Drosophila melanogaster: one gene and its partners. The protein of the gene in region 1 binds, or shares a complex with, the protein of each later gene. Each region holds a gene or a part of one and is shown in the gene's direction. Other genes may lie near its edges.

The links.
Region 2: eIF3l (region 1) and eIF3f1 share a complex: the UniProt entries of both Drosophila melanogaster proteins name them as parts of the eukaryotic translation initiation factor 3 (eIF-3) complex.
Region 3: eIF3l (region 1) and eIF3i share a complex: the UniProt entries of both Drosophila melanogaster proteins name them as parts of the eukaryotic translation initiation factor 3 (eIF-3) complex.
Region 4: eIF3l (region 1) and eIF3m share a complex: the UniProt entries of both Drosophila melanogaster proteins name them as parts of the eukaryotic translation initiation factor 3 (eIF-3) complex.

The regions. Positions count from the first base shown.
Region 1 is NT_037436.4:12,138,988-12,148,056, reverse strand, and holds eIF3l (eukaryotic translation initiation factor 3 subunit l), read left to right. Parts: upstream 1-1,959; 5' UTR 1,960-2,068; coding exon 2,069-2,101; intron 2,102-2,806; coding exon 2,807-3,285; intron 3,286-3,339; coding exon 3,340-4,312; intron 4,313-4,371; coding exon 4,372-4,506; 3' UTR 4,507-4,611; downstream 4,612-9,069. Other genes in the region: Nrx-IV (neurexin IV), read right to left, coding at 1,097-1,202; RhoGAP68F (Rho GTPase activating protein at 68F), read right to left, coding at 5,229-6,264, 6,328-6,523, 6,581-6,616, 6,680-6,805, 7,030-7,056, 7,929-7,965. UniProt on the Drosophila melanogaster protein: Component of the eukaryotic translation initiation factor 3 (eIF-3) complex, which is involved in protein synthesis of a specialized repertoire of mRNAs and, together with other initiation factors, stimulates binding of mRNA and methionyl-tRNAi to the 40S ribosome.
Region 2 is NT_033777.3:4,708,424-4,715,771, reverse strand, and holds eIF3f1 (eukaryotic translation initiation factor 3 subunit f1), read left to right. Parts: upstream 1-1,589; 5' UTR 1,590-1,686; coding exon 1,687-2,529; 3' UTR 2,530-2,890; downstream 2,891-7,348. Other genes in the region: smash (smallish), read right to left, coding at 4,687-4,874, 5,396-5,595, 5,702-6,612, 6,723-7,096. UniProt on the Drosophila melanogaster protein: Component of the eukaryotic translation initiation factor 3 (eIF-3) complex, which is involved in protein synthesis of a specialized repertoire of mRNAs and, together with other initiation factors, stimulates binding of mRNA and methionyl-tRNAi to the 40S ribosome.
Region 3 is NT_033779.5:4,964,329-4,972,093, reverse strand, and holds eIF3i (eukaryotic translation initiation factor 3 subunit i), read left to right. Parts: upstream 1-4,318; 5' UTR 4,319-4,400; coding exon 4,401-4,403; intron 4,404-4,580; coding exon 4,581-5,070; intron 5,071-5,125; coding exon 5,126-5,613; 3' UTR 5,614-5,727; downstream 5,728-7,765. Other genes in the region: CG14043 (uncharacterized protein), read right to left, coding at 1-282; l(2)05714 (lethal (2) 05714), read left to right, coding at 798-1,040, 1,310-1,882; Polr1C (RNA polymerase I and III subunit C), read right to left, coding at 1,948-2,809, 2,870-3,009; Scox (synthesis of cytochrome c oxidase), read left to right, coding at 3,269-3,662, 3,726-4,087; CG34125 (uncharacterized protein), read right to left, coding at 5,820-6,212, 6,272-6,358; CG34124 (uncharacterized protein), read right to left, coding at 6,819-7,406, 7,463-7,765. UniProt on the Drosophila melanogaster protein: Component of the eukaryotic translation initiation factor 3 (eIF-3) complex, which is involved in protein synthesis of a specialized repertoire of mRNAs and, together with other initiation factors, stimulates binding of mRNA and methionyl-tRNAi to the 40S ribosome.
Region 4 is NT_033778.4:14,160,973-14,168,721, reverse strand, and holds eIF3m (eukaryotic translation initiation factor 3 subunit m), read left to right. Parts: upstream 1-3,896; 5' UTR 3,897-4,190; coding exon 4,191-4,235; intron 4,236-4,351; coding exon 4,352-4,531; intron 4,532-4,585; coding exon 4,586-5,524; 3' UTR 5,525-5,656; downstream 5,657-7,749. Other genes in the region: CG18327 (uncharacterized protein), read right to left, coding at 528-1,058, 1,168-1,303, 1,383-1,630; CG8323 (uncharacterized protein), read right to left, coding at 2,052-2,579, 2,998-3,133, 3,197-3,444; O-fut1 (O-fucosyltransferase 1), read right to left, coding at 5,996-7,086, 7,142-7,259; CysRS-m (Cysteinyl-tRNA synthetase, mitochondrial), read left to right, coding at 7,561-7,571, 7,631-7,749. UniProt on the Drosophila melanogaster protein: Component of the eukaryotic translation initiation factor 3 (eIF-3) complex, which is involved in protein synthesis of a specialized repertoire of mRNAs and, together with other initiation factors, stimulates binding of mRNA and methionyl-tRNAi to the 40S ribosome.

The DNA.
Region 1 (9,069 bases):
AGCAGTAGCTCCTCCTAGGCAAACAGCACACTGGCATTTTCTTAGCGGAGTGGGGGAAAACAACCCTTGCGAGGTCATTCGGAGTTCGTGGGCACTTTAAGCTGACTTTGAGTCTTGGGTGGAGTGGTACAAATCAACCTGATAAGCTCGAAAGGAAACCGAGGAAACACGCATGACAATCTTCTGGTAAATAACACAGGAACATATGTACATACATATATAGCCAGTTTGAACTACTTTTTGCTACATAATTGCCCAATGGTGATTAGAAAGAAAACGAAATACATAGAATTTGGCTAATGTTCTAAATGAAACAAATATGACGAGGTCTGAAAGGCCATTTCCGTCCATCTGGGGGAAACTCGAAGTGCGAATGATGCTATTTTCGAGGCAATAAGAACCGAAATAAATTATGGAAATCGACCAAAGTCTGGGAGGATATATGTCGGCTGTCTGCTTTCGACGCTTCAAGGCAAATTAATTGCGCGGCATTGTTTATTTTTAGTCATAAAAATGTTTGCATATCATCGATAGATTGTTTATTTTTCAAGATATGTGGAAATTTGTGGGGAAAAGCGCTTAAGTCTGTTGACATATGGAAGGATAATGATAAAATCACCTGTTTCACACAGCATCATCAATCAGCAGATGCTTCTTATTTGCCGCATGCGCATTTGAAAAGCCGGAAAAGAAGGCAAGCACAACTGGGGATGCAACCGGCAAAATTTTCGAATTGCTCCCCCGGGAAGCTTCATAAAAGTCCGGAAATCAAGAATCTAAAACCCCAATGCCTTTGCTCAAAACGAACGAGTAAAAACGGGCGTTGTTAAGCGGCATTTTTGTTTTGCCACCGCTATTCGTAAGCAACCGTTTGATCGCTCTCCCGTTCTCACCAAAACTCTCGCGATCGCTAAGAGCGAGTTAAAAAGCGAACAACGGGCCAAAGGAAAATGGAAGAGCGAGTCTTCAGCTTTGGGGAACACGCCCAAAAAGTTGGCTTACAAACAATCGACGTTTTATGTCACATATTGCTGGGAAAATCGAGCCGAAAGGATCTGAATTCCTGGGTTAGTCAATGGGTATCACTGGTTTTTACCTGCTTGCACCGATTTAATGCCATTATTGACCAGCAATAGGAGGCATAACAATCCAAACTGAAGCGAGGAAAATGCTGCTTTCGTATTGCTCCTGGGCGGCCTCATCTTGGAGGCTGTTAATTAAACACTATCGCTTGGTAGATTTATAAACACATCTATATTCGATTTCCGAAGAAGTTTAACACCAAAATGCACTTTTCCGCTGGAAAAACCACCGTGAAAAGCTGATGATTTGTGGCAACGCGTCCGCGGTGTTAAAAACGTTGGACTGCACTTTACGCTCCGCTTTAAATCGATTTTGAATTTATGTAATTTATCCACTGGGTGTACGGCTCCAGCAGATCACGCCCACTTCGGAAGAGTTTCGTTTGAATTAAGAAAATAATTATCGCAACGCGGATGACACACGAACAGAATGTCTCGCTGCCAGTGTGACCGTGACTCAAACGTGGCAAGATACCGAGGGAGTCACCAACTGGGTGCTTGTCGCGTGAGCTAAGCTATCGTGTGATTAAGTATATGAAGTATTTACAAATTATTTCAACTGCTACTATGAAATTAAATTTGGTCACTAATAATAGCTTTCCGTTAACATTTATATTAATTCGTGATAGAAATTTTTTTGCATAGTTTTAAAGCCATGTAATATCATTGCAAAATGAATGATATAAGCAAAGTATACAAATGTAATGGCAAATAAGTCAAATCCCCTCTAAAATATTTTTTAAAAATCTAGTTTTCTTATCTATCCAGAAATTTGAAATAAAATACATATTTTACAAAAAATTATTTCGAATACCAAATCGATAGGGGCGTAAAACATCGATAGTCGTAGTAGTATCATTATCGATAGTTGGTCACACTGTTTATCCCTCTTTTCGCCAAAAATTTGTTGGCGTGTTGTCAATTTCCTAAGCATTTGATCGGTTTTTTCGTTTTGTGTGTAACCCGGAGAGGATAAAACAGCGACAATGTACGGTGGAGACGAATACGCAACCAACTCGGTGAGTGCAGCCAGCGAGGAATGATTCATTCTCGGGAAACCAATCCCCGGACTCCGCCGACAACATAACCCATCTTTTGTTGCCCTCGCACAAATACAAAACTCACTGGGATGATTTTAAAGCCGTTTTACGACTTGGCATAGTTGGTGTTTAGATCATCATAGGTCATTAAGCACTGATAATCCGTGGGCCACTCCTTTGACACGTTCCTTTGCTATTTGGAAACGAATCCTGTAGTCCGGGGGACACCCCGGCGCCATGTGGTATATTATTGGTATCGGTGTACATTATTAATAAGTCATAATACCTTCTACATTTTTGATTTGCGTGCAATTTTAGATGGTGTGTACACACCTTTAAAGAACACATGAATATATTCTAGCTTACTCCTTAGAGATGCCGTGGAAAGAAGTACCCCTCTAAGGTTCATCCACTTCGTAATCGTAGGAATGCGCTCGTTTTGTTAGCTACAGCTCGCTTAGCTAAATGGTCGGGATTAAACTCGGAACAGTTGTAGCATAGTCTCTCGAATTCCTATTTACAAAGTCGAAAGTCTTCAATAGTCTAGGCAAGCTGTTAATTTATAAAATCGATCCACTTTAAGCGATTAACTCTATTTAATAGCTCATTTATGCAGAGAGTCGTAGATCAGTATTTCCTGCAATTCTGCTTCCAAAAAGTCATTGGGTTTTTTACATATTACAGGATTACTACGATGACTACGCTCATACCGGAGACCCGCAACTGGACATGGAGTACGAGAGGAACTACTACGCCGCCCGGATGCCGGACAACGTCAAGTACTTCCTCATAAACTTCTGCCAGGCGATCAAAGAGGGCAACTTGTACGACATCCAAAACATGTACGAGAACACGTTCCCGCAGATCAGCGACCACCACTTCGACAAGACTGCTTGGCCCGAGGAGCAGGAGGTGGCTGCTATTGTAGACAACGACAAGGTCTTCCTGATCTTATACAAGGAGTTGTACTATCGCCACATCCACGCCCGCATCCCCGGTGGTCCCAAGTTGGAGCAGAGGATCAACTCGTTCTTCAACTACTGCGACTTCTTCAACCTGATCATCTCGGCCCAGAACCCAGTGATGCTGGAGCTGCCCGACATCTGGCTGTGGGAGTTGGTGGATGAGTTCGTGTATCAGTTCCAGAACTTCGCGCAGTATCGGTATGTAGCTGTTTCCGCAGCCTGTGGAACTCGATTAACCTTCCATTTTTGCAGCGCCCGCCTTACGGAGAAATCGCAGGATGAGATCCAGCAGCTGTGCGTGAACCACAGCAACGAGTGGAGCATTCTCTGCATCCTCAACGTTCTGCATTCCCTTGTGGACATCTCGAACATCAAGAAGCAGCTGGAGGCCATCTCTCAAGGTGTTGATCCCCAAACCGTGGCCGGTGACTTCGGCAAACTGTCCTTCTACAAGATGCTGGGATACTTCTCCCTTGTCGGACTGCTGCGCGTTCATTCGCTGCTGGGTGACTACTACCAGGCCATCAAGGTGCTGGAGCCCATTGAGATCCACAAGAAGTCCGCCTATTCGCACATCCCCGCCTGCCAAATCTCGACGTCGTACTACGTGGGCTTCGCCTACATGATGATGCGCCGCTACGCTGATGCCATCCGCACCTTTTCTGATATCCTCCTGTACATTCAGCGTACCAAGCAGCTGTACAGCACGCGTTCATACCAAAACGATCAAATCAACAAGCAGGCCGAGCAGATGTACCATCTTTTGGCCATCTGCCTGGTACTCCATCCCCAGTGCATCGACGAGTCCATCCAGCAGGTGCTCAGGGAAAAGAACTACCACGACGCCATGTTTAAGATGCAGTGCGGTGATCTGGAGGTCTTCAAGTCCTTCTTTGTCTTCGCCTGCCCACGTTTCGTGAGCCCCTGCCCGCCAGCTGTAGACGCACCCATGGACGACTACGTCAAGGACCCCATGGAACACCAGTTGCAGGTTTTCATGGATGAGGTGCGCCAACAGAAGGATCTGCCCACAACGCGCTCGTATCTAAAGCTGTACACCACCCTGCCGCTGACCAAACTGGCATCTTTCATCGATCCCAACGCCAGCGAGGATGACGTGTCGAAGCTGCTGATTCGCCTGCTTTGCTTCAAGCACAAAATGCGCAACCTAGTGTGGAGCAAGGGACCCAGCGGCCTGGAAGGCACATTCAAGTCTGGCTCCGAGGTGAGATTAATATAGACAAATTCTGATGGCAAATATAATAATATACATTAATATTCTAGTTGGACTTCTACATCGACGACGACATGATCCACATAGCCGACACCAAGGTTTCACATCGGTATGGCGACTTCTTTGTGCGTAAAATTCTTAAGTTCAACGATCTGAATCGCAAATTGAAGAACATCAACATTTAAGCCGACTCCTTGTGACCCTTAATGATAAATTTAATATTCCATACTGGACCGATTTGTTTCGATATCAATAAAAATCGCTTGCGATCTTGCGCAAGTTTGGTCCTCAAAATGTGTCTTGAGTATTTAAATAATTTAAAATAATTATCTAATTTTTAATAAGAATCCAAGTTGTTTTAACACTTGCTTTATTTTTAACAATACCGTTATTTTATAAAAATTGTTTGTATGACTATAAGGAAATTCAAGACTACACAGTACGATTTTTGAGTTCGCCACAACTCCACTTGTGCTCGGCATGTGCCTTCAGCAACGCAACCAAGATTCGTTTTCGGTTATGGGGGAATGTGCGTTGAATTAATACGTAGTATATAATAATAACATCTCATATCAAATTTCTCTCCTGTTCGTCGCATAGCGAACACGAGCAAATTTCTTTGGTAAATCAATCGTATTAAGCGCTTGTTGGGGGTAAATAATTGTGATTTTCGGGGGGGTTGGACAGTTGGCGTGGAGTTGGGGCTACAAGCAGTTCCACACACATACACACAGTTTAAAATTCAACTTAGGATTACAGTACACTTTATACACGACATTGCCTTCTGTTCTCTAGTTTCTGTTGCGTTTTTGTGTGCTCTCTCTTTAGCTAACCATTGGTTCACTTAGGACTAACATTAAAATCAAACAATTTACAATTACGGACTTGTTGGTGGCCGGGCCAGTTGTTAGTCCACGGACACTGTGCGCTGATTGACGTCGATCAAGTAGATGTCCTTGTGATTCTGCAGCACAAAGTCGACGAAAGCATTGATGGGAGCGATCTCCTCCAGGGAGGTACTGGTGCTGCGCGACCACAGGAAATTCGGACCGAACACGATGGCCAGGTTGGAGGAGGTCATCTTGTTCAGATCCTCGCAGTCCATCACCCTGACCAGGAACTCAACAATGTACTTGAACAGTTCATAGTTCTCCTCTGGCAGTTTTTCGCGTATCAGTTGCGTCACGTTCCTCGAACGCTCTTCCTTGGGCCAGTCTAGAAAACCGGTCACATCCTCGTACAGCTCGAAGGTGAGCAGCGGCTCGGCGAGATCGCGCAGGAAACTCTTCAGCAGGCCGGCTATCACGTGGACATTAACGCTCTTCAGATCCACATCCTCGCCGCGGTTGACGCGCTCCTTGAGCGCCATGATCTCCGAGTGATTGCCCGATCGACGGAATATGCCCTCCGTATCGATCACGCCCGTTATGGACAGCGAGTCCACGCACTTGCGCACAATTGGCGGAATGGAGTTTAAGCACGGACTGTTCATCACAATGAATTTCAGGGGCACACCAAATTGATGCGTCGTCGCCATTTTGTGCTGCTGCTGCCGGGATGCATTTATATTGCTGCTGGGCGGCGGTGTCGATGGCTTCCGGCTGGGGTTCAGTTTGTCGTCCAGGTCGCAGATGTTGTCCGGCAACTTCAGCTTGTTCAGGCCGAGCGCCTGGCGCAACTCGTCCAAGCTGGAGATGTAGACTAGCTTCTTGCGGAACTTGTCGCTAATGAACGGGCTAAAGAAGTTCCAAATGACCCGTATGAACCACGTCGGATGAACCACATACAACGTCTTCAGATTCTTGCGGAAGTTGCGATCGAGCTCCTTGTACGAATTCCACAGGAACTGTGCGGATGGTTTGTTGTCCTCCTTGAGGCCTTGATGGAAGTAAACCAAAATGTAGTCGTTCTCCACAAAAGGTTCGATCTCCTTGATGATTTCCCTGATAGACAAATGGAAATAGATTAATGATTGAACAAAAAATGTACTCGAATATGAATCCTACCGCACAAATCCTTCCAGTTGGGATTTTTCGGGAAAGCGGGATGCATAAATGCCAAAGATGTGGCGACCCTGCTTATCGGTTCCCAGGAAATCGCATTTGTTTCTGGGAGTCTGAAAGTTTTCAGACTGCTCCCTGAGTTGGTCCTCGAAGTCGTCCTCCAGCGGATTTACATCTTCCTCGGGCTCAAGTTCTGGATCTAGGCGTAATGCGAAACGTTATTCATTGGCCAGGAGAAGTAGATTCCGCCACTTACCTTCGGCCAGAACGAAATCACCGACCATAACATCTTCTGGGAAAAATCGAAGAATTAGTTTGACTATGATTTTGTAGATTCTTTAAATATTCAATTTACTTTCAAGCGGAGATGGGGCCAGCAGCTCGGTATCATCAAACTCTAGCTTCGGCTCGAAGTCGTGCAGATCGGAGAGACTGGGTTGGGGCTCATCCGAGTTATCGACGATCGGATTGATGGCGGGACCTTGGGGTGCGAGAGGAAGGCATTTATAAATCTCGTAGGTTTCCCTGGCGCGGACTTGTATTCCAAAAACGTAATCTTACAAGTAATGCTTTCAGTTAAGTATTTTGACGGCCTGAGGCAACAAGTTTAGTTCGGATTGAGTTTGAGTAAGTGAATAGACATGAATCAGAGAAATTTCATTTGTTAAGTACATTGGCATCTGATTGTATAATCAACAGTCTTACGGTTTCGATATAATTGGCAGACGATTACTGAACAGAACAGAACAGAGACGATTAGGAAACTCTAAGCTAGGGCGATTAGACTATAGACTATGAAGTAAGGCTATAAGGGCTAGGGCAAACACATACGATCACAAAACACATCGGGTAACCAAACATTGGCAACAACACAGCTAGCGAAAAGTAGTTAACAAATAGGATCCACAACAAACCAAGCAAACAAACCACATTGGATAGTTTTAAAATGCAAGTTATGTATGTACAGGAGGAGACGGTAAGCTGCCCACATAGGCTGGATAATGCAGTTTGAAATGGGGTTAGTAGCGCAACTTGATACCAAAAACAAAGAACTTGGTTAGGGGGCGGCGGTTGGGGGTTAGTCAAGGCGGGGCGGGGCGGGGCACAAAATTAGTCGTAATTACTGGCTTTAACTGTTAGTTCTCAAACGAGGGCACTTCCCCCCTCAAAGAAACTACGATACGGCAATGAAAACAACGAAATAAAGCAGCGCAAAGAAATGACTCCCAAAACTTGAAACACAGATTGGAGGTGAGGTATTGTAGAAAACCTGGCCTCATATTTTTAGGCCCGTTTTTATAATCTTCATGGTGGGCTCAAAGTTAAAAGAGAATGATGGGAAAATGGGTTTCCATATGGTGTACCCACAATTAGTTACTTTATATTTAGGCAATCAAACAGATAATTCTTTTACAATTACGTCTTTCATTAGATTAGGTAGTTAGTATTAACGAAGTTCTTTATTTTGGGAACTATTTCTGAACGCTCAAATAAGGCAAATCACTGGACAATGGCAATGCTAAGCAGTTACAGAACCAAAGATCAAAACTAGATATATATTCGAATCGAAAAGCATGACTTGGCCGTTCGGCCGGCGGACTTACCTGGTAATCTCGGCGCGAAACGCGAATGGGCGTCCATGGCGGTGGAGATGGGAGTGGATGCGGATTCAGGTGCTATCCGTTCGATGTGATTGGATTACTCGCGGTGACGCAGGACGTGGCTCAGTCAGTCGTTGGGCTCGATTATTGGCATGTAGAATGTATGCGGCTGAAATGTGAGAATAAATTAGCCAAAAGCAGCAGTTGCCAGTACTCTATCGATGACGTCATTAGCAAGCTATGTAGTTTTCTTGGCTGTTTGGGTTGCTTGTTCGATGGTTATTTCTTGGTATTGGATATAGTACAGGTTGTATGGCACGGCTGATTCACATTCATTTACATCAATGATTTTGCTCGAAGTCTTAGTGCTAAGTTGGCCCTGAAAGACGCCCACCGCCTCCATTTCTAATGTTCAAACATGCATACATACAGTGGGGACATTTAAAGTGGCCATGACTGCGGTCTCAAGACAAGTGAATTGTTTTTCGAAGAGATAACACAAAAACACAGAGGCTGCTTATCGCAATTTCGACAAAAAGCTTCACAAAAGCACATAGAAAGGCACAATTTTAAGTGAAACGTAGTTTGCTTCCTTCGTTTCTGCCAAAAATGGTTATATATTGTCGCGATAATTTCTTGTGATAACTTGAGTATATAAAAGAACGGAAGTTCTTTTTTTTTGAGCGTCCTAACTAGGGAGGGTGCACTGTACATACAGCTTGTATGACTTTATTTTAAATACGTGATTGGATTGTAAATGGGAAATAAATTAATAATTTTCAAGCGTAAACTGAGATTAGTACACATCCTTTTTGACACCACTGTTTCAAAAGGTGACAAATCCTTTAGGCCGCCACTGTAAATGGGAGTAGGCTCCTTTGTCCCTCCACTGTTTGCACATACACACACGCAGAAGTTGAGTAAAAATTTCACAAGTTTCTTGTCGAAAAACGCAATTTCTGTGCAACAACAACCGATTAATTGCAAGTAAACTGCGCATTTGTGTCTAGCCTTTTTAAATGATATTTACTTTTTTGTTATACTAAGTTACGAATTTCTATAAGTCACAAGAAATCATCACATTTTATACGAATGATGAATTTGTCTTAATCACGCTTTCGTTTCTCATTTCAGTTAAGTTTTT
Region 2 (7,348 bases), on another chromosome or scaffold:
CGATGTTTAATCCTAAATTTTTAAATTATTTTATTAAAATTTTAAAAGTTTTGGTATGTAGTATGTTCCCCATTGGCTTTAGCTACAAGTTGAAGCCCTTTTTTCATGGAATGGACAAGTTTTTGCAGGTCATATTCAAACGGGATCTTTTCACACTCTTCGACTATTACAGTCATAAGCTGTTGTCGTGTTTTAGGTCCCTTTTTGCCACCTTCTTCTTTAAGTAGGTCCACAAATTTTAAATGGGGTTCAGATCAGGACTCTGAGGGGGCGTATCGATCACTTTACCACAGTTATAAGGGCGCCAGGTGCGTACATTGCACTCTTTATGTTTCTGATCATGTCCTCTTAAAATATAAAATTTGGCTTGTTGTTGCTAACTAGACCAAATTTTTCTGCACCGGCCTTCAAATTTGTTTTTTAAGATTCCTAGATATTGCACGGCATTTATTGTGCTCTAAATTAAGGCTAGTTTTCCCACTCCATGGCTGGTGATACAGCCACAAACCATCAGTGACATTTTTCCAAATTTTATCGTTGGAATGATATTTTGTTTTTCTAGCGCACTCAGCGGTTTGCGCCATACTCTGCTTGGCCCGTCGTTATAAAAGAGCATAATTTTTGTTTCGTCACCAAATATGACGTCATCCCAGTACTCTTCTGGATGATCCACCTTGTTCACAGCGAATTAATGACGCTTTTCCATATTGGCATCTGATAGCAAAGGATTTTTCCTCGCAACTCTTGAAGAGTATCTATGGCGTAGGATGACTTGGCGCACAGTTTCGTGTGACACAGTTAGGTGACACTCTTGCCTGATATCCAGAGCAAGTGATCTGACCGGGGGTTCGCAATCTCTATTCGCATAATAAAGCGGTCTACACGCTTTTTAATTTTAATTTTCCGCCCACCACCACTCTTAGGTTCAAGCCTGTCCTCTTTTTCCGAGCCTTTTAAAAAATAGTAGACGGTCTTACGGGATACAGAAAACATTTATACTTATTCTGGAAAAGATTTTCCCAACTGGTGGTTATAGTTTATTAATTGGGTAACTTCAAAGTTTATCTCTTTCCAGGCATTTTATTAAATTTAATAATTCGCTTTAAGCACGTTTGATCAGCAAAATTTCACAAGCAAGATTGAGTAGTAGAATGTAACCGACATTTTGTTATTGATCCGTTATGTTAAGAATGAGCAGCGAGCAATGAAATTCACGGAAAGCGTTCCGTTATTGAGTGGGCATCATTTGTGTGGCTGTTGTTGTTGTTGTATAGTTTCTGGAAACGAAGTAAGGATGAAATAATTGAGTGAAGGTGAGGAATAGAAGAAAAGCATCGCGAAGGCGACGCTTGAGTAAATTAGTCTGCTTAGAACGACAGAAGAAACAACACGCAGGCGACTTGATGTGCTGGACAATATGGACGCTGAAGTAAATGAAAAGTCGCGCTTGGCATCTCCGACATATTCAAATTTGAATAGTATTTGATTAACTAACGCTAGCCACCGGTTTTACATCGATAAAACGATAGGCCACGCACGACCGCACCGATAGCTCCAAAAGCCATCAACCCCCACCCGCACTATCGATAGGCCCTTTTCTTGCATCCCTAAAACATACGCGCAGCGTGGCTGAATAGAAATTATTGCGGAAATTTTCCTTGCAAATCTTGGCCACCGAAAATTACCATGTCGGCTCTCAATCTGACCGTGCGCGTGCACCCGGTGGTGCTTTTCCAGGTGGTGGACGCCTTCGAGCGGCGGAACGCGGACTCGCACCGCGTCATCGGCACCCTGCTCGGCTCTGTGGACAAAGGTGTGGTGGAGGTTACCAACTGTTTCTGTGTGCCGCACAAGGAGCACGATGACCAGGTGGAGGCAGAGCTGAGCTACGCCCTGGACATGTACGACCTCAACCGCAAGGTGAACTCCAACGAGAGCGTGGTAGGCTGGTGGGCCACCGGCAACGACGTTACCAACCACAGCTCGGTGATCCACGAGTATTACGCCCGCGAATGCAACAACCCGGTTCACCTCACCGTGGACACTTCGCTGCAGGGCGGACGTATGGGTCTGCGTGCTTATGTCTGCATTCAACTAGGAGTTCCCGGCGGCAAGAGCGGCTGCATGTTCACGCCCATTCCTGTCGAGCTGACCAGCTACGAGCCGGAGACATTTGGGCTCAAGCTGCTTCAGAAGACCGTAGGCGTTTCGCCCGCTCACCGTCCCAAGACCGTTCCGCCAATGCTGGACCTGGCCCAAATCTCGGAGGCCTCCACGAAGCTGCAGTCCCTGCTGGATCTTATTCTCAAGTACGTTGACGACGTGATCGCTCACAAGGTAACCCCCGACAACGCCGTCGGACGCCAGCTGCTAGACCTTATCCACTCCGTGCCGCACATGACCCACGAGCAGTTCACTCAGATGTTCAACGCCAACGTACGCAACCTTCTGCTGGTCATCACGCTCTCCCAGCTCATCAAAACCCAGCTGCAGCTTAACGAAAAGCTCACCTTCCTGCCCACCGCCTAGAACGACGGCGTTTGTTGAAGTGGTAATATCTACTAAGGGTGGCATTGTAAACTGATTGTGTTTTTTATCAATGGGGGTCTACGTAATAAAGTGCTCTGATCGCCAAAAAAAAAAACCAAAACTTGTATCGATTACTCTGGTCAGAATGACATTCCATACTAAAGAAAATATATATGGGATTATCTTTTTTATAACTCAATTGAAGAATCAGCATGAATCCTGTGACACCTACACTAAACGACCATGTGGCGTTTGTAGGAGCATTCGAATCTACTGAAGACTCTTAAACACAACAGTATTCATCACCAGGAACAAAATAAATGCATGTGCAACTGAAAATTTAGCACCCAACTGCTAAAACAAAATGTTGTGTTTCAGTCTTTGGTGAGCTTCACTATTCTATAGGGTTTCAGGGAGTCGCATCGGTGCTGGGTTTATTGTAAGAATAGTAATATTTATATTCTTTAATATCAAACTTTGATGATCGTACCTTCGGCACACAAAAGTTATAATATCAAATTTTGTGACGAAATATGACAACACATTCTATTAAAAACTAGTTTCTTACATTTTATAACCAGCACCTCGTTGCATCATATGCGTTACTTAACTTTCAATTGTTTGGTAGCACCAGGATAAACTTGAGCTACGCCTACACTTTTCTGTGCAATCTGCATCCTTAATCTTCTAGCATTTATAGTTCATGAGATCTTGACGTTCATGCGGACAAACATGGCCAGATCGACTGCGCTGATTCTTGATCCTGGTGAAGAATAAAAGGTACTCTAAAGAGCATAAAAAAACACACTTTTCATATGAAAGAAGGACACAAAGGGGCTCCAAGATTTCCCCGTATGCCTTAATATATAAATTAATTAAAAAAAAAACTTTTCATATGAAAGTTTGTGTGGCCAATTTAAATATATTCGTAATGCATACTTTTGGGCGAAATTTAAATCTCAGAATGCGGAAGTTTTTTTTTTAAATCAATAACATTAGTTACAGTGTTACATTAGCAGATACTGGTTCCTCCCAAAAATTTATGAACTCAGTTGTAAGTTTTTATTAAGCATGTCGAATTGACATCCACTTTGTTAGCATATTTGTCGGAAATGCGACAGGACAGGTAAGTTATACATTTTAGAACAATTTAATTAACAATGATAAGTTCAGAAACGTAAAATGATTGTTTCATCATTGAAGGACTGTATCTCCTAGTCATTGAAGTATTACCACCAACATACCATACACCTTTTAACTTTAAGCGTTCTGCAGATCAAAATATGAAATAGTTCTTCATTGAAATAGTTTATTAAAAAACTAAACTATATCTTCTTTGATGTATTTATACAGAAAAATTATTCATATACCGATCATGTTTAAAAATTAATCATACAATCCAAGATGTGTATATAATATACAAATTTTCAACTTTATGCGAAATTACAATAAATAAAAATAAGGGATATAAGAAATGAAATCTTTCGCGATATATGCTCACCTCATGCAAGTTTAAGGGTATGTATATAATAATTATGTTAGTGAGTTGCGTGTGGATGGGTGTTTGTATATAGTTTTTTTTAGGTACATTGGATGCGTCGTTAGGTATTTTAAGTGGGCTGTAGCGGGTACAAAAAGTTAGAAACTAACTAATTTAAAAGCGAATTTTCGGATAGAAATAGTAGATTGTGTAGATGTGTAGAGTAGAGGTGTAAATATAAATTCAAAACAATTTCAAAATTTTAACACTTCGTTTAAAGTTAATCCTTTTTTTGGTTTTTTTTTTAAGTTTCAACACACATTACTTTGTTACAATGTTAGAGAGCTTGGCATTTAAACATGTAAAATGTATAGAGTTTGATTTATAACATGTAGAATGCGTTGTATAAAACTTTTAAATCCGAGTTAAAACATTACATAATTTCGTAGGGAAGCATATTAAAGCGATTAACACTAATCTGAAACGTTTTGGATTTGACTTTGTTCTCAACATATGTAGATATATGTATTGTATATATGTGAACGTACGAATTATCATCTCTATTTAATATCTATGTATTACTAGTACAACAACAACAATCAATGTTGCAAAAGCAACAGAGCAACAACCCCAGTTCTATTCAATAATCCACTTCCGTTTCCATGGCGAGGGCTCAGTTAGACGCAGCTGAACTTAATGCCGTCATCGCTGGAGTAGCAGTTTTGGCAATGCAGCTTGTGGTTTCGCACCCGGACATCGGTTCCATTGAGGCCATCTCCCAGCTGGACGTGGCAGACGCAACACTTGAAGCAGTTGATGTGGTAGAACAGCAGAAGCGATTCGATGATCATGGCAGCGCCGCGACCTGTGGAATTAGGTAAGGAATCTTTCAGCTTAGTTGCCGGATTAAAGGAGTCACTGAAGCGGAAGTTAACGAAAGTTAAAATTATAAGCAACAAAAATTGCAACAGAAGTGACGTAGATTATAAATAACCCCACCACTTAGATATTATATTCCGCTTCCAAGATTTTACTAATATACCTAAAATATTCGAAACTGTTGGGCAGTCTTTTTAAATTTACACCCAAACAATATATTTTAGCGCTTTGTGCACCTGCCGACAATTGCCGTGAGTGCAGCCCAGATCTGTCACAGACATGTAAGTGAGAATGGAAACTTATTGATAAAGAGTTTATAACCAATGGGAAGGAGAAAGCATTAAATGATCGACCAAACCCAACCATGAGACTAGTGAATCCAAGTGTGTTCTATTCATGATCTCTCTCTGTGACAACAAGCCTAAAAGATGTTCCCAAAAATGGACGATGTAAGAGTAAGAGGGGTATGGGGGTATTCAAAAGTAGTAGAACAACCACAACACTCACAACCAACGTAGTAGCAAAGTTTACCTAATTCGTCGCCGCAATGGGAGCACTTCTTCTTGCCACTAACGCTGAGCACCTTCTCCTGCCCCTGGCTGCTGTTGCCATTGATGCTGCTGCCATTCGTCACATTCTTCTGCTGCTGTTGCTGCTGGTAGATGTTGTTGCCATTTACCTGGCTATAGTTCCCGTTGCTATCGAAGCTGTTGGTGAATTAAAATTGCATTAAATATAAGGTATGAAAAAAGATCATCTATGTAAGATGTAGTAAAGTAGAGTTTCCCTTGTCACCTATATATTACTACTTACCGCTTTCGATCGCCGATTCCTTTGCTCTGGACCCGCTCCGTAAGAGTTTGTATGATGGAATCGGGCAGCGGTTTGCCCATCGACTTGCTGGCTGGTATAGATCGCCGATTAAGTTGCTCGATGCGTCGCTGCTCCGCCTCCTGCAGTAGCCAGTGGTTGTTATTGTAGAGTGCTCCGCCGTAGTCAGGCATGGATTTGCGCTTTTGCTGCTGAGCGGCCAGCCAAGCCGCATCGCTGGTCTGTTGGCTGTCATAACTCTTCCGCTGCTGCACCTGCACCCATCCGTCCGCGTATTTTGGTTTGGGGGTGGCACTCAAAGCGAGCAATGTGTTTCTGGACATATTGCTTAAGTTTTGGGCCGACTGGTGATGGTATGCTGGCGCTGTCGGCGCTTGAATGGGATATCCTTGACCGGGGAGCCGTGGCGGCATTGGTGCTCCAGCAATCTTTACCAGAGAGCCACCGTACGGAGCCGGTGGTTGGCGCTGCCTCGTGCTAACAGCGTAATCTGGCTCCAGGCCATGGCCATTGGCGTTCAATTGCATAGCCCTCAATGGCTTTGTGGGCGGCGTTGGCGGCAGTATCAGGCAGTTGGAGAACTCGTTTAGATCCGACATGGACTTGCGGTAGTCCGTGTCCATCTGGTGATATGCATGCAGAACCATCTGTTGCTGCTGCTGCGGCACATTGGCGTAAATCTGTTGCGGATGCGGTGGTGGCATTTGAACCTGGTGGTGTTGCGGTGGCTGGAAGGCACTGAGCATTCCGTTTCCGATTCCTAGACCGTGGTGCAGATCCTGCAGTGAGCGCCGGTTGTTCGACATCAGCATCTTGGCTCCGTGTTGCAACTCTCGTCGAGCAATATTTTCTCGAAGCACAAGATTTTCACGTTGCCGTTTCAGTTCCTCTTGCTGTGAAGGAAAAGTTTAAATTATTGACCTTTTTCTTTGCTAATCATAGTTTTCTGTGACCACATTTTTTAATGAGTTTTATGGTCCTAAAACTTGAACCTCTTCCTTACCGAGAAGTGCAGTAGCTCGCGTTCCACCCGCAACATCTCTCCCTGCTCCCGGATCTTATCCTCGATGGACTGCATCTTGGCATTGGCCGTTGCTGTGGCTTCGCTCAATGATTGCGTGGCCGCCGCTGCGGCCGTTGCTGATTCGGTCCAGGACTCGGCGGAGTTTCCTTTTACCGTCTGGAGAAGCGGCGTCTGGGCAGCCAGGAGGCTCTCATTTTGGTATATGACTTCACCCACTTGGGCGGTCGATGGTGGTGGAGGCAATGGCGGCGGTGTGGCCTCTGACTGTGTATCGTTCTCCTCAGAGGAGTTCGTGTAGTGCTCACTGCTCTGGCGAGAGTGGTTTTCAGAAACTCCAGAATCGCGGCTTTCACCTTCGATAGAATTAGACAAATTGTGTGGTTAATATTGACAGCAAAAGTCAACTATGTATATTTAGGAGCAATGGAAAAGGCTAATCCATAAAACAAAAAAAATTAACGTAAAGTTTAGTACCCGCATTTGTGTCCAGACATTATAGGTTTTTTTTTCTAAACTTTTCATACTTCGCTCAATAACTATTTATGTACTTCCATCTATGAGTATATAAAACGTACTCATTTTGCCATATAATCTCATAAAATACT
Region 3 (7,765 bases), on another chromosome or scaffold:
CTGCTCCTCTGTGTAGATGTAGATCCTGCCTAGATCCCGGCAAACGAAGGCCAACAGAGAGTGATAGCAGCGATCGTCCTGACCACCGTCCTCCTCGCTGGCCTGCACAGATACCAGTTGGTCGTCCAGCTGCTTCTTCAAGACAATTAGCACATCGCGCGCTTTATAATGGGAGCGGAATGGATCCGTGGGCGGATCATTGCGGCTCTCCTCCTCCACCAGACGGTTGGCCTTCTCGTATAGCTCCTTGAAGTCGCTTAGGATCTCCTTTGGAATGACCATGTTGGCTGAGCACCCACGGTGCAGGCAAAAGCTATCCTGAATTCGGCAAAGCCTTTTTATTTACTATATTTTTTCTCTATGAGTGTGTAGTGTGGCCGTATTGTGACTGCTTAAACTTTACCTGAGACCCAAACCATGAAAGAATATTTTATTTAAAATCTCAAACTAAATTAATTTGAACTATGTACAAGTAAGGTATTTTCAAAAAGTACATAACACAACCATAAACGCCTCTAATATAAACTTGAAGGCATAAAATGTTTATATAAACAAAACAGCTTAGTGTGACCGTTGCGCAGCAACCTCTATGTCGCAACCCTGGAATTAATTGCTGGTATTATAACGTATTCGATTACAGTCACACCGCATCGACTTTCAGATTTTTTTCGCGTCGCAAATTTTTGGAATATACCAAAATATTTACCACCATCAGCTATTAAAGACTGCTTTTGGCGCTCATCTTTCAAAGAATACTTTTCCACAAATCAGACAAGCTTCATCCGAAAGCGGGCACAATGCTGAAGGGTTACAAGACGGATGAGGACAAGAAGGTGAAGCGACTGTACCACCAACGCTATCGCACAGAGTGGGAGAAATATCCGGAGCTCTCCAGCTGGCTGGCGTCTAGTAATGACGGTTACTCGGCGCACTGCAAGATCTGCGACATCAATGTCCTCGCCAGACTAGCGTCCATCAAGCAGCACCTCGCAACGCGGAAACACCAGGAAAGTTTCAAGTACCACAACATTCTTGCCAAGGTGGGATTGGGTTTGTGCATAAGCAATAGGAATGACCCGTGTCCATTATTGATTCAAATATTTTGCGATCCAAACTAAATTTCAAACACGATTTTTGTGTGAGTTTTCGCCATACTTTTCGTTAACTATTCCATTGACTACTTCTTGTGCAATGGTTAACCAAACCAGTAGCTCCCTCTATGCGATGCACAACTTATCGCTCCAAAAAAAAAATTCTCATCTCATTACTAATTTACATAAAATTAACAACTCCGTATTTATACCTACAGAATATGATTAAGGGTGAACTTGTCAAAGATGAGCATGACCCAGACTTGGAGGCCTCCATAATTTCACCCAAAGCAAAGCCCAAAGCCAAATCAAAGACCTATCCAAGGCAAAAGCCAAGGAGCAAAATGCAGCCAAAGATCAAGAACGACACGAAGGTGGAGAGCATGGAGGAGGAGACGGAGGAGGACGAAATCGCCTCGAACGACTCAATCCTGGATGATTTACTCAGAACAGATCAGCCCTATCAAGAGCAAGAATTTGAGGTTGAGAACGAGTTCCTCGAAGTACAACAGAATGAAACAGATCTCCAGGACCAAGAGGTGGTCTACGAGGAAGAGATGATACAGCTCAAGCCGGAAGATACGGAGATTAATAACGAATACCAAGTCGACGCGATGACGGAAGACACCATTATTAGTGAATTTGACTTGTTTGGCAAGAGTTTGGCTCTGCAGCTGAACAACATGGACCTGGAGGACGCACTAATGTGCCAGGAGCGTCTGCAGGTGGTCCTAACGGAATTTCGCCTGAAGGTGCTCAAGCGCAAGAGAGAGCAAGCACGATCTTCGTAGGCTTACAATTTATATCAAGCTGTCTTATGTACATAATATAATTTCTTTAACAACTAAATAAATAACTATTCTGCCTCAATTTCGTCAATTAGCGCCCGGCACTTTCTCTTCAATACCTTGACCGCCTCCAGGAAGATGACATCGGGCTTCAGTGCGCCGACTGATTCCACGGAGAAAATGTAGTGATCTCGGATACGGGCCAAAGTCACAGCGTCGTTTAGCTGGGGATAGCGATACACATTTCGGCTGCACGTGTCGTAGCGTGCATCCTTTACATAGGCAGTTTCATTCTCGTCAATGCCAATTACTCCTGGTGAGAAACAGTTCTGTAATAGGTACGCATCCTTACCGGTCACCTCGCGGTTCAGCTTAATCATGGGCAGCAGTCGGTAGGTGGCCGTGGCCACCGGCGAGAATTTCGCGTGATCCCGTCCAAGTCCCTTAACCGCCACCAGGCGCAGATCCAACTCGTGACCCGGACGCAATTGGGCAATCAGTATGTCATCGTGAATGCAGTTCACAGCACTCTCGCTGTATATCTGCGCCTGCTTTCCTTTGGGCAGCCACTTCAGATGACCCGAGTACACTTTGTGGTTTTTGTAAATGTCATCGAAGTTGGACTGATCTTTTCCAGCATCCCGTCGCCGCGAGCACTTCACCTTCAGCTCAAATTCAAGCGTATCCTGCTCGGTCCCCGCCTCAGTGCTTTCCTCGGTGCGGTATGCGAATAGACGGGGATCAGCCCGCAACGGAAGTAGACCCATTCGATGGGCAAGTACCTCGTCCTGGATGATCGAGGTGTTGTTGTATATGTACACCTTTTCGATGGCCATGCTGGGCACATCGCTGAGCATCAGGCGACGGAAGGCATTTGCAATGGCGGGATACACGCCAATCAGATCGAACTCCAGGCCGTCTTCGTCGTTTCTAGAAGTGAACACCAATTGTTAATCGACTCGTAAGATTCTAATTTCTATTGAGATTTACCTGACGATTTTGATGTGCAGCTTTTCCTTGAAAGCCTGAACGGAAAATACATCGTCCGCCAGTCCATAGTCCTGCGGATCCTGCTTCACCCGATACTCCTCCATGTACAGAAGCGGCTCCTTGCGATTTTTGCTTGCCATTTGCCCCGGTGTTTTTATTAAATAATTTAACAAAATTGAACCGCACGTGTTGGAATCAATAAGACCGCCTTCTAATACCAAAATATACCAAACTAACTAACAAACTAACTAATATACTAAATAAATATACTTTATGTACTAAATAAATGCTGTTTCGCCGTGACTGGCTGAATAGGAAGAAGCAGCAGGACACCGGCGATATTTTTATTTCTCCAGAAGATTTACGTAAAGCCTTCAAATTTCTGAAACCGGGCGTAAGATGTCCCGCTCCCTGCAACGCTTAGTGGGCAGCTGTCGTCGCTGGGCACAACAGCCCGCAATTCGTCATTATGCCGCTCCCGCAGATTCCACTAAAGGCAAGGGTCCGATCTCTTGGAGAAGTCTGGCCGTCATTGGAGCCCTTGGAGCCGGAGGAGTGGGCTTCATGCTGTACGTGAAGAGCGAGAAGGATGAGGCGAGAATGAAGGAGCGTCAGCGGCAATTGGGAAAAGCAGCCATCGGCGGCAGTTGGGAATTAGTTGATTCGCAGGGAGCTGTTCGCAAATCGGAGGACTTCTTAGGCAAGTGGCTGCTCATCTATTTTGGCTTCACCCACTGCCCGGATATTTGTCCCGATGAGCTAGAGAAGATGGCCGCCGTCGTCGATGAAGTTGGTAAGTAGAGCCTGACTATTTCTTCCAAACCCAAAAAAAACCATGTTTCTCAAACCTTCACAGAAAAGTCCCCGCAAACGCCAGCAGTGCAGCCCATCTTTATCACCGTTGACCCAGAACGTGACTCCAAAGAGGTGGTGGCCAAATACGTAAAAGAGTTCTCCCCCAAACTGCTGGGACTCACGGGAACCGTCGAACAAATCCGCAAAGTGTGCAAGGCCTTCAGGGTTTATTTCAGCGCTGGACCGCGGGACGAGGACAACGATTATATTGTGGATCACACCATCATCATGTACCTGGTCAATCCCGATGGCGAGTTTGTCGATTACTACGGCCAAAATCGGGACAAGGACCAGTGTGTGGCATCCATTTTGGTGAACATAGCCAAGTGGAATTCAATGAACAAAAAGGGATGGTTCAGCTAGGCTGGCTAAGCTAGGCAAATGTTGTTTCGTTGTATTTACTTAATGTATGGCATAAAATATGGTTTTTACTTGATGTATATCAAGTTTTAAATCCAAATTTTCGTTTATATTGGCTATACCTTAAGTTCTAGATTGTAAAAATTTCTGGTTGTTCAAAATAAACTTGATTAACGGTATTTTTTAGATCCCCCTGGTATATCGAAGTGAGATTTTGACTAGGCCACGGTCACACTGCTCTTTTGGCGTGTAGTGCTGCGTGGATGTTGTTGCAAAAATATTCGTTTTCTCGCAACAAATAACAATATAATACAAAATGGTGCGTGCCTGGTCAATGACTACACAGTTTGCATTATTCCGGATGGGTTTCTTTAGAATTTACCCGAAATTACAACTATTTGCAAAGTGTGAAAGTCGTGTGAAATTCCGGACCAAACATAACCTTAAAAGCGGCCTAAATTGTTGCTAAAAATTCGTATTATTCTGTCTTTTATAGCGTCCGTTGATGCTTCAGGGCCACGAGCGTTCCATAACGCAAATCAAGTACAACCGCGAGGGCGACCTGCTCTTCTCCTGCTCCAAGGATCAGAAGCCCAATGTGTGGTACTCGCTGAACGGAGAACGTTTGGGCACCTACGATGGTCACCAGGGTGCGGTCTGGTGCCTGGATGTGGACTGGGAGAGCCGTAAGCTCATCACCGGCGCCGGTGATATGACCGCTAAGATCTGGGACGTCGAGTACGGCACCGTTATCGCCTCCATTCCGACCAAGTCATCGGTGCGCACCAGCAACTTCAGCTTCTCGGGCAACCAGGCAGCCTACTCAACGGACAAAGCGATGGGACAGAGCTGTGAACTGTTCCTCATCGATGTCCGCAACGCCGATTCCTCGTTGTCGGAGCAGGAGCCCACACTCCGCATCCCGATGACCGAGTCCAAAATTACGTCGATGTTGTGGGGTCCTCTGGATGAGACCATCATCACAGGTTGGTGTTTACCCGATAATCTATTATGAAAACCGTTTAAAACCCGTATTTCCAGGTCACGATAATGGCAACATTGCCATCTGGGACATCCGTAAGGGTCAAAAGGTGGTTGACTCTGGCACGGATCACAGCGCTGGCATCAACGACATGCAGTTGAGCAAGGATGGCACCATGTTTGTGACCGCCTCCAAGGACACCACCGCCAAATTGTTCGATTCGGAGTCCCTGATGTGCCTCAAGACCTACAAAACGGAGCGTCCAGTAAACTCGGCGGCCATCAGCCCAATCATGGATCATGTCGTGCTGGGCGGCGGTCAAGATGCCATGGAGGTGACCACTACGTCTACGAAGGCTGGCAAGTTTGACTCGCGCTTCTTCCACCTGATATACGAGGAGGAGTTCGCCCGACTCAAGGGCCATTTCGGACCCATCAACAGTTTGGCCTTCCATCCGGACGGCAAGAGTTACGCCTCGGGCGGAGAAGATGGTTTCGTGCGTGTCCAGACATTCGATAGTACATACTTTGAGAACATCTTCGAGTAGTTTGTATCCAGTAGTGATTTAGTAGGATCAGAGCCGGTGGACTTAACATAACCATTTCACCGGCGACATGTTCGTTTGCTTAGGGAACTTTCAAATATACGCGAGGACGAAACGAAACGGATCGCGTCGTTTATTTTTATAACATCAAAGGAGTGGAAAGAGGTACAACATGATTATATTCGAGTAAATGGTGTGCCATGTGTAACCTAAAAAAAGGAACGCTTTTTTTGCTTGAGAACCACAGGCTGACCCTGCATGGCCGCCCACTGAGCCGGTGTGGGCAGGCAGCCCGGCGGAGGAGGCGGAATGACGACATTTCCGTTGGAATTTGTCCTCACCTCGGCCCGTGAGTCCAAGTGGAGGACCTGTGCTGCAGCTGCTCCTGCCGACGTACTGGGACCAGCAAGTCCGAAGCCACTGCCATGTGTCATACCGTAGTTGGGCTGCCCGCTGAAGGGCATCTGCTGTTGCTGGTGGCTGATCATGCCGTAATACTGATTCTGGCTGGGCGGAGCACCTCCTCCTTGTGGATAGCCATAGGCACCAGCACCGGTGCCGCCGTTTCGCTGGCTTTCTTCATACGTTGGCGGAGGAGCTCGCTAGAAGTCGCAAAACTTTAGATGGCGACTGGTATTTGATAATCAAATTAACTTATTACCATGGCCATGTCATCGCCGGAATGGCGATAGTCGTAAGCGGGAGCACTTCCCTCGCTTGGTGGACCTGCTTTTGATGGCTTCGACATCTTATCTCGTCTGTAATTTGAAGTTGCACTTTGTTTACTTGCAGTTTCTCTGAGTCACAAACAGGGTTGTCAGCTCATCGAGATTAGTGATGTCGTAAAGTTTTCCCGTCAGATCTGGATTTATTCGAAATTTATTTTCTGCACGCGAATTGCTATTTTATTTCTTTGGCGTTTTAAAATAAATAAAAAATGGGAATAATATGTCCCTCACAATTTATTAGTAAATTTTTGAGTTGTGCTATTAGGACGCCAGTTATTGAAACACACGCTTTTACAAATAATTCAAAATCAGATTTAAAGATGTTCTATGGTAAAATATACATGTTTGGGTCACCTTTTTCGAAATTCAAAGTGAAGTCTACAAAAAAATATGTATTGAGTTACTTTTTGTAAATCGATGTTGTCAAGTTCCAAAAATAATTAATTTTTGAATTTCTACCAAAGTATTTGATATGGATGTCTAGAAAGGAAGCCCACTGCTGGTTCCTGGCTTTTTCGTGGCGATCCTCACCGACATGGGCGACTCGCAACTGGGCTGCTTATATTGCCGCCTTTTTATCAGGTCTCTTTGAATGGAGCTTCCCAGGCTGCGAATGGGCACCGCTGTAATCCCATCGATCAGATTCTCCCGGGCGTGCTGGAGCGTGCTATCGATCAGCTGCTCCACGGCTATGGCTCGAGGATCCACCATCGGTTCACGCTCCAGCACGTCCACAATCATGCGCAGGGTCTCGTCCGCCTGGAACTCCTCCAGCGGCAGCACCTCAATCAGCTCTTTGAACATGTGAGCGACGATGAAGTGGGTGCGGTTCACAACCTCGGAGTCGCCCATATGGACATGAGCGCACAGCGAGTCCTTGGCGTGATCGAAAATTCCGGATATCAGCTCCTCGGTGTTCACATCAGAGCGTTCGTAGTCGAACACAGCCACCACCTCGTTGAATAGCTTGCGAAGCTCCTCGTTGCTGATGTGGATGAAGTACTTCTTCGGCACAAACGTCTGCAGATGCTCCGTTATGCACTCGGCTATGCGATCCGTGTACCGACCCTAAAATATAACCTTTGGTAAGATTGAGTAAACTAATTGCTTTTAGATCTAATCACCTGGAAACTGTAGGCGGCCTGGCACAAATAAAGCGAGGAGCGCTGGGCAAACTTGCGCACATTCTCCGGAGTGGTGCTCTTCCCAAAGAAGCGATTGAAACTCTTCTGGACAATGGTCTGTACGCGATCCATGATAAACTCATCGGGCATGGGTGGCAGCATGTAGGCGTCGACATTGAGGATGGCCGGGCACACCATCGCATCGTCGTTGGGCATTATTTCACTGGTCACCACCTGGGGCTGTGCATTGGGATCCACCTCGAACTCGTAATTGATTTGCAGCGGCTTGGACTTCAGCCTGAG
Region 4 (7,749 bases), on another chromosome or scaffold:
GGCGGAATAATTTAAATATTTGAACTCTTGTATTTGGTGTTTAAAAATTAAAATTCGCTTAAGAAAGAAATTAGTATTTGTAATTAATGAATTTTTTATTCAAAAATATTGGTAAAATTCTTATTGAATTATTAATTAGTGACCAAAACAAATAAATCACTTTGAGAAAAGGTCATAATACATTTATTATTGCTTGTTAAATATCAACATTAATTTATCGATAGTTACACGTATGGATATCGATAATTTCGCGGACGGTTAAGAATGGATTATAAGGACTTTACTTAACCACGCTCGTAGCCAAAGAATAAAATATAAATAAATACATTTTTATTTTCTCTTTTAACTTGTTTAAATCTTTACTTACCCTCTTCAGAGGATCAAATTGAAATTGTTATTTTGATGAAATATCCGGGAAACGGATATGCTACTAGAACGTAACTTCCAAATACTAAGCTAACGAAAGTAAAACAACTTCGTATGGTTTTGCATTTCAAAGAGCCCCGCTCGTGTTAAATAATTTTCGTTTAGTAGTGAAGATCGTACTTTTCCCTCAGCGCAATTAGTTCGTCAAAGAACAAAAGCACCAACGTGGAATATGGAGCACTCCTCAGATAAATGGGCCAAAAGCCCTTGTACAACCCATATACACCCTCCGATCTTAGGATCGTAAGCACACAATCCAACCAGCCCCTGTAGTAAATGCCACGACCTTGGGCATCAACTCCCTGATTGTAAAGACGAGTGGTAACCACATCCAATGGAGTGATTGCCAGCGAGACAAATGACCCAGCGGCTAAGCCAGAGCAAAAGGACAGGATTGTGGGATGAGTTACCACTCCGTTTTCCTTCAACAAACTCTTGGCCTGGCCAAAAACTGCGATTTGAACGGCGGACGCAACAGTGGCACGGCTCACATTCGCCAACGATCCTCGCCAGAGTCCAAAGACGCCGTTCTTCCTGTATATCTTCCTAATCGCATCGCTCATCGAGGCGTGCTGATGCTGATAACCAACGGCGATCTGCTTGGCTGCCTGTGCCTGAAGTTGCGTCTTGATCTAGAATGGAAATGTAGCTATCAGTGATGCCTTATCTTATCACGGCTAGACATTGTCACATATTCGCGGAAGCAGACACCTTCAGTGTTTGATTTACATAATCGCTTACCAGGAAGAAGGGACTGGCACAATAGGAACCCACAACGCCGCCCAAAGCGCCCCAGAACATGCCCTTTGCGAATGAGATCTCGCCCTTGTTGTTGTGGACCCAACCCTTCTCTACGGCATGGGTGTATATGCTCAATCTAGAGCAGATAGAGAGATAGAGCACATATGTATATTTTTGGAAAACTCCTTGTAGGATAACAAACAGCTTTAACCTACCGAAACGAGTTTATTACAAACTGGAAGCATAGCGCTGGAGCCAATCCTTTTTGCAAGCCAAGAATTCCATCGTTTTTGGCCACAGTCACAAAGGCCTGGAAGACACTCTTGTAAGGCTGAGCATGAGATCCTCGGGCGGCCAGCTCTCCCTGTAGTTGAATGCGAGTTTTGATCACCTCGACGGGATTGGTGAAGACACCAGCGCCCATGGCAGCCACGCCGCCCAGCACAAAATCCGACGTAGCCATCAATGAGACGTCCGTTCTGTATCACAATCTAGTGATCACTAACGCCACACTTGCGATAAGCTAGCTGCTTAAGACTTGAGAGCAATATGCGTTAAAATGTAACAGTTAAACTGGTTTATTTCACCAAAATATTGCACGGTTAATGGCTACAGGAAGAGCTCTTAAATTAGCTTAATGAAGGCACAAGTTGGTTCTGGGGCTTTGCTAATCTAAGAGATTGGAACTAGGACATTAAGCTAACTCACTAAAGACTAAAGCCAGATTTAGACAAACAAATTGTATGCGGCGGCACTTGCATATCAAATTTGTTTATCAAAGCTTGGCTTAATAATAAAAAGCAATGTGTATATTTCCGGGTGGTAAAAACGATTTTAACAATTTTGTACTTAAATTAATGCTACCTAGCCAGTGATCTTTGGGGTCATTGATTACTATACTTTGTGCGTACGGCGACCAGCTCGTCAAAGAATAGCAGCACAAGGGTTGAGTGGGGGGCAATGCGCAAGTAGTTGGCCCAGAACCCCTTGTACATACCATAAACGCCCTCTGATCGTAGGATTTTCACAAAGCAGTCAAGCCAACCGCGATAAAGAAGACCGCGTCCTTCGGCGTCTACGCCCTGATTGTACAGACGCGTGGTGATTACATCTGGCGGCGTTATGGCCACCGACATAATGGATCCGGCTATCAAGCCAGCCGAGAAGGAGTTCAACGTGGGCTGGGTCACCAGATCGTACTGGACCAACAGGGCTTTGGTCTTACCAAAGGTGGCTATCTGGGCACCTGATCCCAAAGCCGCCCTGGGCAATGCGGCCACAGATCCTCTCCACAGTCCTCGTACTCCATTCCTGGAGTAGATCTGACGCAGGGCATCTGTCATGGAAGTATGGGCATGTTGGTAGCCAACGGCGATTTGCTTGGCGGCTTGTGATTGCAGCTGAGTTTTGATCTGGATGCAAAAGAAAGGACCATAAATAATAATATAGAAATATAGACATTGTACATAAGAGAATTGACTGTGATAATATGTTAATGTTTACAATACTTATTAAGTTATTTAGCGAATATTTTTCTGTTTCTAGATCTTGAAAATGTCTTGGTATAAATAGGCTAACAATAAATGCGTTATGTCATAAAGTAATAAGCAATGCAAACAACCATAAACAGTCAAAAAATATGGAATATTTGGAAGTATAATACTTTCTCCCTGGATATCTTGAAATGGTAGTATTTAGATACTGATGGACAATTGCCAATAAAGTCTCTTATCTGTGGAAGGTCCATAATGCTGATGAGCACGCGGCTCATTTAGATAAACTATGTATTTGTTTATGTAACCTCCCGCAGCATTCCCACAATTGGCGTACCAGGAAAAATGGACTGGAGAAGTAGCACCCCACGACGCCGCCGATGGCGCCCCACAGTAGTCCCATTCCGTAGGACACCTCACCCTTCCGGTTGTGCATCCACCGCCTCTCCATTGCCTCCGAATAAATGCTGAGCCTGGCGAATGTAAATTCAAGATGATTAATAATTATAAAATATAGCTACTAAATAATTCCCCACCGGAAGGAATTGATGATGAACTGGAAGTACAAGGCCGGTGCGAGGCCCTTTTGGAGCCCCGTAATGCCATCATTTTTGGCCACCGTAATGAAGGCATTGACAATCCCCTTGTAGGGCTCCACATAGGTACCCCGTGCCGCCAGCTCGCCCTGCAGCTGGATCCGTGTCTTGATCACCTCGATGGGATTGGTGAAGAAGGTGGCCCCCACGGAGGCCAGGCCGCCCAGAACAAAATCCGATGTAGCCATGTAATCACGAGTTCTGCTGAGGATAGTGGTTGACTAGTAACGGTTGTACCGCCTGCTGCGGAATCTCTGTGGCTCTAGGAAGCCGCACGCTGCGTGTGTGTCGTGTATTTCATAATTCTCCGCCCCGATTAGCTGGCATTACTCCTGCTCTTCTCGCCCGTTATACAAATATAATATAAATTTGGCGAGCAATATAACTTAGTAGCAGCGGAGTTGCCAGACTGTCGCCAAATTAACAATTTAACAAAAATCGTGTCATTTTGCTTAACTGTAAAGTGATAAATGTAAAATAAATAACTGCTGGATGGTAAATTTAAAATTCAGGAGAAACGGGTTTTAGAACGTTAGTAACGGTACGGCTAAGAAGTCACTTAGTGACTTATATGTTTCAGAAGATCCGGGAACACTACTTTTGCCCACATTTATTGTTAGCTAGAGTCCCGTCAAAACATTTATAAAATTGATTTTTATGTCAGCATTAATACACTTGCAAAGCCATAACTATTTTAATTTTATTGAACTGAATGAATTTCAGAGGAATATTATATATTTTAAGTGGCCACGTTAACGTCATCTTAATTTAATTCGGTCAATTGTTTGAGAGCATCGCTATTAGCGGGAAACGGACCAGGCCGGCAGCACTGGTCGCTCTCTTTCCTTTCGAGCTGTCAAAGCGCCGAAGACGTGTGTGCGTGTTATTTTCAGCTGAATTTGTTTAAAAAAGTGGAATAACATTTAACAAAACCATGACTTCGCATCCGGTTTTCATAGACCTGTCCCTGGACGAGCAGGTAGAGTGAAAGTGCCCTGTTTTAGCCATGAATTCGGGCGGCGCCTTGCCCGAATTGAGGTTATGTCTTCCTCTTGCTGCAAAACAAAACTAATATTATTCGCAATTTATTAAAAGGTGCAAGAGCTGCGCAAGTATTTCAAGAAGCTGGGAGCCGAAATCTCATCGGAGAAGTCCAATAAAGGTGTGGAGGATGATTTGCACAAGATCATCGGCGTCTGCGACGTTTGCTTTAAGGATGGTGAGCCCTCGCAGATTGATGGAATTCTAAACAGCATTGTGTCCATCATGATCACGGTGAGTAATACAGAATACAATATTAGCAACAAAAAATAACCTTCAATATTTCAGATACCCCTGGATCGCGGTGAGAACATTGTCCTGGCCTACTGCGAGAAGATGACCAAGGCTCCCAATCTTCCATTGGGCAAGGTGTGCCTTCAGTCGTTGTGGCGTCTGTTCAACAACCTGGACACCGCCTCTCCCTTACGCTACCATGTGTACTACCACCTGGTCCAGGTGGCCAAGCAGTGCGAACAGGTGCTGGAGGTCTTCTCAGGTGTGGATCAGCTCAAATCCCAGTTTGCCAACTGCCCACCTTCGTCGGAACAGATGCAGAAGCTGTACCGCCTGCTGCACGACGTGACCAAGGACACCAACCTGGAGCTGTCTTCCAAGGTTATGATTGAGCTGCTGGGCACCTACACGGCGGACAATGCTTGTGTTGCCCGTGAGGATGCCATGAAGTGCATTGTGACTGCCTTGGCCGACCCCAATACATTCCTGCTGGATCCTCTGCTGTCGCTGAAGCCTGTGCGCTTTTTGGAAGGCGACCTCATCCACGACCTGCTGTCCATCTTCGTGTCCGAGAAGCTGCCAGCGTACGTGCAGTTCTACGAGGATCACAGGGAGTTTGTCAACTCGCAAGGATTGAACCATGAGCAGAACATGAAGAAGATGCGTCTGCTGACCTTCATGCAGCTGGCCGAGAGCAGCCCGGAGATGACATTCGAAACGCTTACCAAGGAGCTGCAGATCAACGAAGACGAGGTGGAGCCCTTCGTCATCGAGGTGCTGAAAACAAAGCTGGTACGCGCACGACTAGATCAGGCCAATCAAAAGGTACACATCTCATCGACAATGCACCGAACCTTTGGAGCACCACAATGGGAGCAGCTTCGCGATTTGCTGCAGGCATGGAAGGAGAACCTCAGCACAGTGCGCGAGGGTCTAACGAGCGTCTCCTCGGCGCAACTGGATCTGGCTCGATCCCAGAAGCTGATACACTAGGCGCACCACTTCCAAAAAATTGCACTGATGATGAACAAATGCTGGCCTCGGGGCACTGGAGTGACGACCTAAATTATTTTCAAGAATGCGAGAGGGCTGGATAACTTGAATAAATTTATAAGTAAAATCGGTAGCAAACAAGTGTTTTCATAAATGCGAGGAATACTTTAATAGCTTACAATTAAGTTGTAGTGTTTTTGAAGGCATTTAACGGGTTTCATTAAAATCCTTTTTAAGAATTAAAGCTAAAAGAATAAAACATAAATATACTGATATTCTTTAAAAGCACTAAATATTGGTAACATTCAAAAGTAAATTCATTAAATTTGTAAGTTGAAACTTTTACCTTAACCATTTAAGAAGTGAAGTCCAGAATATTGCTTAATCAATGTAATAAAACTGTCTAGTATTAGGAAAGAAAACCGAAAAATAGCCTATTCGAGTATTTAAGTAGATAATCCTGTTGCTCCATTACAGCTCCTCGTGCACGTTTGTATGCTTACGATCCTTTTCCTTGGGGAATCCCCAGAAGTACGATGGAAAACCGTGCACATCTCGTTCCCTTTTTTCGAATGCCGAGTAAGAGGATATACAGTTGCCGATAAAGTGGTTCGACTGTCCGAGAATGGCCAAGTCCAGGTAAGGATCATCCTCCGGCAGCTTGTGCACACTGATGCCCATGCGACTAAGGGCCGTGTTTAGTTCACCAATCATGTGATTGGAGTCTGACGCCACGAAAACTGATTTGATTTCGTTGTCCGGCTGAGTTTGGCGCACGTTCTTAATGGTTCTCTTTAGCTGGCGGATGATCGCCTCCTTGGAGGGCATGCAGAGCTCCGGGTAGAGTGCACCACGTTCATTTTTATAGCCCAAGCACTGCGGCGAGGCAAACAGATGCTGGCTATCCTTGACGTGCTCACAGGCTCTCACCCAATCGATACCGTTGCGCAGATGAATGCCCAAAAAGGCACCCCGAGGCAACTGCTCTCGGATGAAATCCTTAGATGCTTCCCTATACCGTTGACTCCACTGCAAGTAGCGCTGCAGCTTGCAGTTCTCTAGCTGAACAGGAAAACTAGCCGGAGCTCCGGTGAACGCGAGTACGGGATATGATTCTGCAGGATATTTGGTCTGCCACTTGGCAGCCTCGTTGCTATGATGCACATCAAAATGAAGTGGCGCATAGAACTCTGACCGCACAAAGTCTATGTGAAAAGTGTCCCAAAAGGGACCAAAAGGATTGCCATCCTTGGCGTGGCAATTGGGCTTGTCTGGATCGTTCTTCTCCTGCTGAAGGCTATATCGTTCCTTGTAGCAAAATGACACTCGCTCCGATTCTGGCCAAATGTCGTCGGCCAGGTGCCACATGAAATCTGCCATGGTGATGACGCGATGGTATTCCTTCAGGGGCTCCACTTCAAAATATGTGTTGAACGGTACCTGACGGGATCGCAGTTCACCCCTACGATACTCCACCCACGGCGGCAGGATCAGGGTGCGATTAAGCGCCTTGGCGAAGGCCAATGATCCCAGGAAGTGGTCGGCCTGGTTGCCAAAGCGTCCTTTGAAAAGCGCGGTTTAGTTGTCGTTTTTCGGTTGCTTCCAAGTGAAACTTACCCATACACGGACAGTAGGTGAGGTAGCCATTGGGATCGCCCCCCAATTGGGCACATGTTGAGCTTATTAATAGTAAAATTAAGTTTACGAAGCGAAGCTTCATTTTGAGCCACTGCATTCTGCCGGCTTCGATTTTCTTTGACCAGGTGGCAACTCTGTCTCTTTGCCAGATTACAAAATGTTTGGAATGCTTTTGTTTATGATGTGATATAAATATAATTGCAAACATAAATATATATTTGAAAATTTATGAAATTATATTGTGAAATTATTTTTTAATTTTATTGTGAGACTTTCTTACTATGGGCTAAAAAGCTCAGATCTGGCAACCTATTATTTTCTAATCAGATGTTATTGCTTACATGAAACTTTAGAAATAATTTTATTTAGACTTTAGACAAAATTTACAATATATAACAATGTATAGCCTGTGAGTATTTATGCGGATAGTGTCTTTTTTGTATTTCTAAGCCCAAATGTTTCCCACAGCAAGGAGGGGCTCCGGGCTCTTAACAGTCGAACGAGACCAGCTCTCATTTGCCGGCGCAACATTTCGGAGGAGGCTCCCAAACAGGATAGTCCGTTTAAATGGAGAAAACCAATTGGCC